2 linked regions of the Caenorhabditis elegans genome follow. The protein of the gene in region 1 interacts with the protein of each later gene in a biochemical or structural test. Each region holds a gene or a part of one and is shown on either strand. Other genes may lie near its edges. The genes, in order: ced-1 and ttr-52.

Region 1 (5,283 bases):
TCCTAGATATCTAGAGATTGACGCAATATCGGGAGGGACCATAAAGGTGCGGCCCAGTGTGGCGGGGACACCTCTTTGATATTCGATAGTCCACCCTTTTGACCGATTGGGAGGATTAACAGGTGGATAGAGACACTTGGATAGTCTATAAATTGACACTTGAGACTTTATGTCGATTTTTTACCCCAATAGGTGTAAAGGTTTCCGGCGTCTTATTTCCTAGTTTACTATTTTCTGATAATTCAAAATATCGAATTTATCAGTAAGAGTTCATGTAATAGTTATTTTGGAAATAACTATTGAGTGACATATAACATATAACTGTTATATTGAAAAACGGCAATTTGCCGACTTGCCGGTTTGCCGAAAATTCTGAAAATCATATATCATATAGCAACTTATATAACAAATATAACATAAACGTTGCTCAATAGATATTCTTTTGATTTGATACTTTCTTCCAGAATAACTACATGAAAACTTGCTGATGAATTCATTATTTTGAATTATGTGAATTTCCGGCCAAATATTGCTCATTTTAAATTATTACTAGATTCTGATGGACTTGAGACCCATTGCTAATCCCTGATAAATGGGCATATTGCTAACTGTAAAATCTTATACTCATCAGATAATGCTTATTCACATCAGTTCTTGCTTTAATACTAGTACTAATTAATTATTACCATACTTATTTCATTACTTTTATATAAACGCAATTAATATAATTAATTATTAATATTAATACTGATATCGGTAGCATATAAGATATAACATACAAGAAAAATATAACAAATACGTTGCTCAATAGATGAATAGATATTCTTCTGATCTAACGCATTCCATCCGAAAAAAAAAATCCGCACTATGCGATTTTCCGGCCAAATATTGCTCATCATAAATTATACACAGTATTGGCAAAAATAACCTTTAAACCCATTGCTAATCCCTGATGAATAGGCATATTGCTCACTGTAAAATCCTGAACTCATATGATAATGCTTATTCACAACAGTTCTTATTTTTAACCAGCCGTGGACCGCACCTTCGGCGCGGCCCCCGACTTCTGGGGCTGAAAATTAATTTTTTATGAAACTACCGTAACCCTACAGTATTCCTACCGTACCACTATTGTACCACTACAGTACCCCGACTATATCCCTACACTAACCCTAACTCACTATCCCTCCAGAAGCCAAAACTTCACAGACTACAAAGACTACATAGACTACAAACTATGGACACACATAATAAGCGCTTTATATGTATATAGTAAATGATATTAATACTAATTAATGTTTAATTAATTAATACTATAATTATATAATTAATAATATTAATAATAATAACTTATATAATTGATTATATACTTAAATCATCATATCATTACTTATATATTAAAATAATTAATGATTAATAGCTATACTTATATAATTAATACTATGCTTACTATAATCATCATTTACTATATATAAAGCGCTTATTCCGTTTGTCCATAGTTTGTAGTCTATGTAGTCTTTGTAGTCTGTGAAGTTTTGGCTTCTGGAGAGATAGTGAGTTGGGCTTAGTGTAGGGATATAGTCGGGGTACTGTAGTGGTACAACAGGGTTACGGTAGGAGTACTGTATGATTACGGTATTTCAGAAAAATTAGTTTTCAGTCCCAGAAGTCGGGGGCCGCGCCGGAGGTGCGGTCCACGGCTGGTAACTTATATAATTGATTATATACTTATATCATCATATCATTACTTATATATTAAAATAATTAATGATTAATAGCTATACTTATATAATTAATACTATACTTACTATAATTATATTATCAATTAGTAATAATACTGATACTAAGATTAATTAACAAAATCATAGCTTTGCATATTTTGAGTGAATTTTTCTATTCTCTGTTCTCTGTGTTCTTCAACACCATTCGTATTCCATTTTCCATTTTTCCACACAAAAATCCTCTAAAATTCCCTGTTTTTTTGCAGCCGCAAATGCGTCTCATTCTCCTTGTGCTACTTGCCACGTGGCAAGTCGTGGTGGACACCCGAGCACCCACATTTCCCGACAAATTAACACAGCAGCTGCAGCAGCAGGGGACAACAGAACCACAAGGAGATCACGTGTGTACGGTGAAGACGATGTGAGTCGAGCTGAAACTGGGAAGACAATTGAAATTCAAGAAAAAAAAGATTTTGGAGAGCTCCAAAATTAAAAAAAAAAAACTGAAAAACTAGAACTTAATCCAATAATTTTGATTTTTTTCTGAAATTTTCACGACAAAAAATCCGGAAAATGAGAAAATCTAACATTTTTTACAAAAACCTGGAAAAAAGCATTAAATTACAAAATTATATTTTTTCATTTAAATTTAATAGGAAAATTTTCAAAAAATAATTTAGTGAAAAAAAAAATTTTTCGATAAAATTATTATCGGATAATTTTCAATATTTTTTCCTTTTGCATAGTTTTTGTGTCAAAAAACGAAAATTTCCCGAAAATTCTAGTTTTTTGACATATTCTTTATCCTAATCTCTTTTCACAATATTTGTGCTCATTGAGCCCTGCTCAAAATGGTCCCCGGCAACGCTTAAGCCAACAAGTGCCTGTTTCCTGTACATATACATATACAGAAACATTGAGCAAATAACCAAAAAATATAGAGACCGATTTGAACGAAAAAATATAGATTTGGCAAAAAAATTAGCAAATTTTAAAAAATTTTTTTGAATTAAAAACCCGAAAAATCTATAAATATTTAATCATTATATTAAAAAATGTATTTTAAATATAGAGTATTTGAATTTAAATATATAAACAGTATTTTAAAAAAATCCAGATTTTTAGGAAAAATTGAGCAATTTTAAGTGATTTTTTCATTCAAAAACCCCCGAAAAATCGATAAAAATCCAAAAAATTTGCAGTGTGGACGACTACGAGCTGAAAAAAGTGATTCATACAGTGGTGTATAACGATACGGAGCAATGTTTGAATCCATTGACTGGATTTCAGTGTACTGTTGAGAAGTGAGTTTTTTTTTGGTGAAAAAAGCGGGAAAAATCGATGAAAAACGCTGTATTTTTCAAATTTGTGAAGAAAAATTGCTAGAAAGCTTGAAAATTGTGAAAATTAACAATTTAAAATGGAATTTCTCTGAAAATTGAATTTTTATAATAAAAATGGCACGAAATGAATACAATTTTGAATTAAAAAAAAACGACAATTTTAATTCAATTTTGAAGCGATTTTGGAATAAAAAAAACTAAAAAAAAAAAAACGGTTTTCTTGTAAAAATTGAATTAAAAATGTCCAAAAATCACAGAAAAACTGCAAATTTTGTCACTTTTTTTGAAATTCTGGAGAAAAAAAAATTGAAAATTCGATAGATTTTTTAAAAATTAAAAAAAAAAACTATTTTTTTAAAATTAAAAAAAAAACCATTTTTTAAAAATTACAACATAAAATTTCCGAAGAATCTGTAATTTTTCGGGGGTTTTTTTTTCCAAAAGTTTGTGTGAAAATCCAATGTTTTATAGTCTTTAAATTTTTGTTTCAAATTTTTTAAATAAAAAAAATTAGAAAAATTGAAATTTCAAAGATATTAAAAAAATTCCAATTTTTTAGAAATAAAAATAAAATTTTAATAAATTCTCTGAAAAATTGAGTTTTTTATTCGAATTTTTTGAAATAATTCACAAAAAAGTGGGAAAATATTCTGAAAATTGTTTGAAAAATCTGCCATTTTGCCTTTTTTTTTTAACAAAAAAAAAAATCACTTTTAATTAAAATTTCTAAAAATTATCAAGTTTTGTAAAAATTAAAAAATATTTGATTAAAAAAATTAAAAAATTTTTTTTTTCAATTTTTTCAAAAAAAAAATTTTTTTTATACATTTCGACCGATTTTTCCAGATTAAAAAGCTGAAAATATAAACAAATTCCCAATTTTTCTTTTAAAAAAGCTCAAAAACTCGAAAAACCCTCAAATTTCCCATTTCCAGACGCGGACAAAAAGCCTCCTACCAACGGCAACTTGTAAAAAAGGAGAAATACGTAAAACAGTGTTGTGATGGATATTATCAGACAAAAGATCATTTTTGCCTGCCAGATTGTAATCCTCCGTGTAAAAAAGGAAAATGTATTGAGCCGGGAAAATGTGAATGTGATCCCGGTTATGGTGGCAAATATTGTGCTAGTTGTAAGTTTTTTTTTTTGAAAAATTTGGAAAATTTGACTCTGGAGACTCTTTTTTTGAGCAAAAATTTGTCAAAAAATTGGAAAAATTGAATAAATTTGAAATTTTTCATGAAAATCTCAGAAAAACTACGCTTTTTGCGATAAAATAGTGAGAAATTATTTATTTTCGCTTTTTTATTCGAAAAAAATTAATTTTCCGCTAGAAATCACTGAATTTTTGTACTTTTTTTGTAAAAAAATCGGTGTTGGAAAAGTATTAAAAATCCTTTTTTTTTTCTCAAAAAAAAAAAAAATTAAAAATCTGGCAAAATCTACCATTTTGCCGGTATTTTTCAAAAAGGTTAAACTTTTTGAGAAAAAATTAAAAAAAAAACAAAAAAATTAATTAAAAATCGTATACTTTTCTCAAAAACTTAAAAAAAAACATATTTTAATATTCACAAAATTGGCAAAAAACCGAGTTTTTTCCGAGATTTCGAAAAAAAATTACAAAATTAAAAAACATCTAAAAAAGTTGAGAATTTTTGGAAAAAATTGAAAAAAAAAATCCAAAAAGAAAACGTTAAAAATACTTTTAAAAAAATGCAAAAAAAAAAAAACCTGAAATTTTCGAAATTTTTGATGACAGTTTTTTTTTCTTTAAAAAATTCAACAAATCTCCAAATTTTAGTGAAAAAATCAAGAAAATGGGAAAAAACCAGAATTTCTGAAAAATCACAATATTTCAAAATATATCAATTTTTCTCCGAAAATTCCCAATTTTTTTTGAAAAATTGACAAAAAATTTTTGAAAAAACCTGAAATTTGAATTTTCGGTTAAAAAACGGTGAATTTATGAAAAATTCGCATTTTTCCTTAAAAAATTCAAAAAATTTCCAAGTTTTAGTTAAAAAATCAAGAAAAAATGGAAACAAAAACCAAAATTTCTTTTTAAAAACTCGAAAAAAAACAAAAAAAAATTATTTTTTTTTTTAATTTTAAAAAATCACAATTTTTCTCCGAAAATTCCCAAATTTTTAGTGAAAAAAATTGAGAAATTTTTTTTTGGGAGTTTAATTTTCCACTGATTTTTTTCTCGAAAAAATCAG
Region 2 (3,600 bases), on another chromosome or scaffold:
TGTTCCTGAAAATGGGATCTTTTCTGACTTTGCAGAAAAAATATTCAAATAACCTAATAATTTTTGAATTCGCGCCCAAATGAATGATCAAGTTTAGGCAGTCGTGGAAACATTTATGGTTTTTTTAAATTTGATACTTTTCAGTAATTTTTTCAGCCAAAAAGTGGAAAAATCTATAAATCATCAATTTTTAGGTTTTTTTTGGAGTTTCAGCCAATGTCTTCGAGTTACCAATTTTACGGGTTACCAATTTCAGAAGATGTTTCAAATGGCACATCAAAAATCCTCACTGTTTCTAATTGGGAAAATTAAATTGAAAAAATGTCTAAACTACAATAAAATCGATTAAATCATAGAAGCTCATTTGCAGAAATTGAAAAAAAAGTTGAACAAATTGGGACTTTTAGTTTGGAAAATCTCAAATCAAAAAGTTGGAAAAATTCAAAATCCGGTAAATTACAAACCTATAATGCTCCGGGTGTTGCTCCGTTGATGCTGGAATGAGCTTCAACTCGTAAGCTGCCTTTCTCTCCCAAAGGTCGCGCCTCCTTCATGGTAGAAGCTAGTATTTCACGCAGAGGGAGCATCAATGTGCAAAAGCTCATTGGAACCGGTTACCCATTCCGCGTGGTGTGTGCCGCGTACATATATCTTCCGCGCTGTTACTACTGTCAAAACTGTGGAGAGTGGGAGGCGGAAAAAAAAGAAAATGAAGAGAATATTTGACTTTTATTATACCAGATTTGAGAGACATAGATGAAAAGGAGGTCGGAAGTATATCGAGACAGAAATCATGAACAGTTTTATGCAAACATTGACTTTACGGCAATCATTTTATTTGCAGTTGAGTTCTTTAGTAGTCTTCAAGGTATCGATCTAGATAAACATTACCAAGACGGACAATTGATGGTAGGAACAGGGGTATTACGTCAATCTGAAATTTGTGAGCAAAGTTTCAGCAAAAAAGTTTGGCTTTCTGATCTATAAGAAACCTTTCATAAGGCATATAAACATGAGCCTGCCTGCCTTATGCCTATAAAAATATCTATTGGCAAAGTAGATATTAAATTTTATTTTTCAATCCTACTTTTGATCTCCAAATATTCATTCTTTAAAAAACTGAAAAAAAATTTTACAGGATTGTATTTTTCAATTTTTTTAGTCGGTTTCCATGTTTTTTCCATGTTATTTAATTGCACTTACACTGATATTTTTCATAGTTCTTGGTATAAAAAATTTGTTATTTTTTCAGAATTTCCAAAAAATTCAAAATCAAAAAATAAAATTGCCGAAAATTTGCTAGTTTTTAAAAACTTGCATTCTCCAGAACCTTCAGATATACCTGTATAGGATTTGTAGCATTACTATCACGATGTGGGCAATTGTGTTGAATATATAAATATGGATCAGGTGTATTAATTGGACCAAAGTCACTTGCACAACCAGTCACTTGGAAATTCCCGTTACGGTCGCTCCATGTTCGACCCATCAAGTCATCCGATTCTAGAGGTAATGCTGGAAATGTTTTAATTTTTCAAGATTAAACAAATTTGATAGTAAAAATTAATATTACAAAGTACTTACAATCTTCATCCCACAAATCGATATGCACTTTTTTAACAGCTTCAGGATCTGTTGGGCATTTTAAGACTCCAGTTGCCATAAGACAACTAGTTTTTGATAAAACGTTCCCTGAATAAATGAAAAAAGGCAGGAAGTAAATCAAAAATCTCGACATATGTTTTGAAAGTCTTTTGTTGGAGAATATTGGAGTATAAGGAATGCGTGGGGGTTGAAGAGACTCCCCTGGGGGAACATCATGGACTCCTATCTTATCGATCATGTTCATATTTATTTGCTCATTGGTGTCATCGTGTCAGCAAACACTCAAGTGCATTCTTCTCAGTTGTGGAGTAGATATTTATGTGTTACCGTTAATTTAATGTGGATATTTGGATCTAATGGTTTCACATCTCACTTGTATGTACATGACTAGGTCATTTTTCAATTACAAATTTGAGCTCTGAAGATCTATAAATGTCAACTACTATTTATTTTTTTAGCTATAATTATCAAAGGTCAAACTTTTTTTAAAGAAAAAATAATGTCGATCTGCCGACCTGATAAATCGTAAATTACTGACAGATCATTATCATATTATTCCAAAACATTTTTAATTGAAACAATAAAGTTTAATTTATTTTTCCGCACGTCTTCACTTGTCCGTCTTCTTGAATCCAAGCCGTTCCAGCCCAAATAGCCTTTTTCTTGAGTTCAGGCGGAAAGCATCTTTGAATATGAACTCCATCATCTCCACAACGATACTCAATGTCACCTAAATGTATTTTAAACAAATCTTGATAAAAAAACAAATAATACCTTCGCGCCAAACTGCATATTTTTTAATGTGCAATTCTTCATCATTTACATCGTCTTTCTCTGTTCCGTTGAAGCAACCTGAAAATGTAACTTTTGATTTAGCACTTGCTTTGTCGGTTTTTTAGAAAAAAACTTGCTAGAAAAAACTTACAATTTTGTTTGTTCCGTTCTAAAAAAAACTTTTCAATACTCCAACAAAATCCCATAAGAGTTAAGTTGGAATACGATAAGAGTTAGAAAATAAATCGAAAAAAAACTTGCCTTTCGGCTCAATCCTTGCCTGTAATTGATTTGCCTGAATCCTGCAATACTTCAAACTTTTGTTTCCAATCACAAAGAATCCACTCTTGACAATATCTCCATTTGCATCAACACATCCTTTAAATCGTCTTGAAATACAACAAATTGCGAATCTATCCTTGAAAATATCATCGGAAAAATCGGCGAATGTGGGGCAAGTGTTTGTGTTCAGATTATCCGTAACTTCACGTGCACACATGTATTCATATCCATTTTCCACATAGCTTTTGGAGCCGACTTCTAGTAAATGACCACTGTCGGTTACACATTTTAGAGTCTGAAGTTTTATAAATTAAAATACACATCGAAACATTTTGGTTCACTAAAATTCTAATCCAAAAATATAACCAATACTTATTAAATTAACCTGAATATTTCCATCTCGACAAGTGACCAAAAAATGATTATTTCGGATCCACTTGTCTCCATTTGTATAAATGACTCCATTATCATCACATTGTGAGATAACATATGAATAGACAGTACACAAAACCAAGAGACGCAGAGTAAAGGTCATTGGAATGAGAAGTGGTGTGGAGCAAAGTGAAGAACGATGGAATAGTGACCCAGGTTAAAGAAAATGTGTAAAGAGGACATGACTGAAGGGCTCGAGGGGAGAAACGTGACAAGTGATGATATCAAGTATAAATCAGTGTTTAATTACTTGGAAAACTATTATGTTGATTAATATTGAAAAGTTATTTAAAATTGATGAATGTTCGATATATTTATTTACAAAATAATTATTTATACAATATACATGGCAAGAAAGAAAAGTGAGTATTAAACATTAATTGGAGTTGGTGGAAGTTCTGGAAGTGCCCCTCCGTTGAGGAGTTGAGTGATAATGAAGATAATTGTATTGAGTTCCTGTAATATTTTGAATGTACTAACGAAATAAAATTCAGACATACAATTTTA

The links.
Region 2: the proteins of ced-1 (region 1) and ttr-52 form a complex in vitro, tested with the Caenorhabditis elegans proteins (one study listed by BioGRID).

Annotation. Positions count from the first base shown.
Region 1 is NC_003279.8:11,864,810-11,870,092, reverse strand, and holds the start of ced-1 (Cell death abnormality protein 1), read left to right. Parts: upstream 1-1,987; 5' UTR 1,988-1,993; coding exon 1,994-2,142; intron 2,143-2,923; coding exon 2,924-3,025; intron 3,026-3,999; coding exon 4,000-4,196; intron 4,197-5,283. UniProt on the Caenorhabditis elegans protein: Involved in programmed cell death, also called apoptosis, in both somatic and germ cells. Acts by recruiting ced-6 to phagosomes which enables actin-dependent cytoskeletal reorganization and subsequent engulfment of the apoptotic cell corpse.
Region 2 is NC_003281.10:13,402,899-13,406,498, reverse strand, and holds ttr-52 (Transthyretin-like protein 52), read right to left. Parts: upstream 1,782-3,600; 5' UTR 1,739-1,781; coding exon 1,585-1,738; intron 1,516-1,584; coding exon 1,343-1,515; intron 935-1,342; coding exon 854-934; 3' UTR 716-853; downstream 1-715. Other genes in the region: mig-18 (Abnormal cell migration protein 18), read right to left, coding at 2,193-2,335, 2,380-2,457, 2,641-2,956, 3,047-3,196; srlf-10 (SXP/RAL-2 family protein Ani s 5-like cation-binding domain-containing protein), read right to left, coding at 3,463-3,549, 3,594-3,600.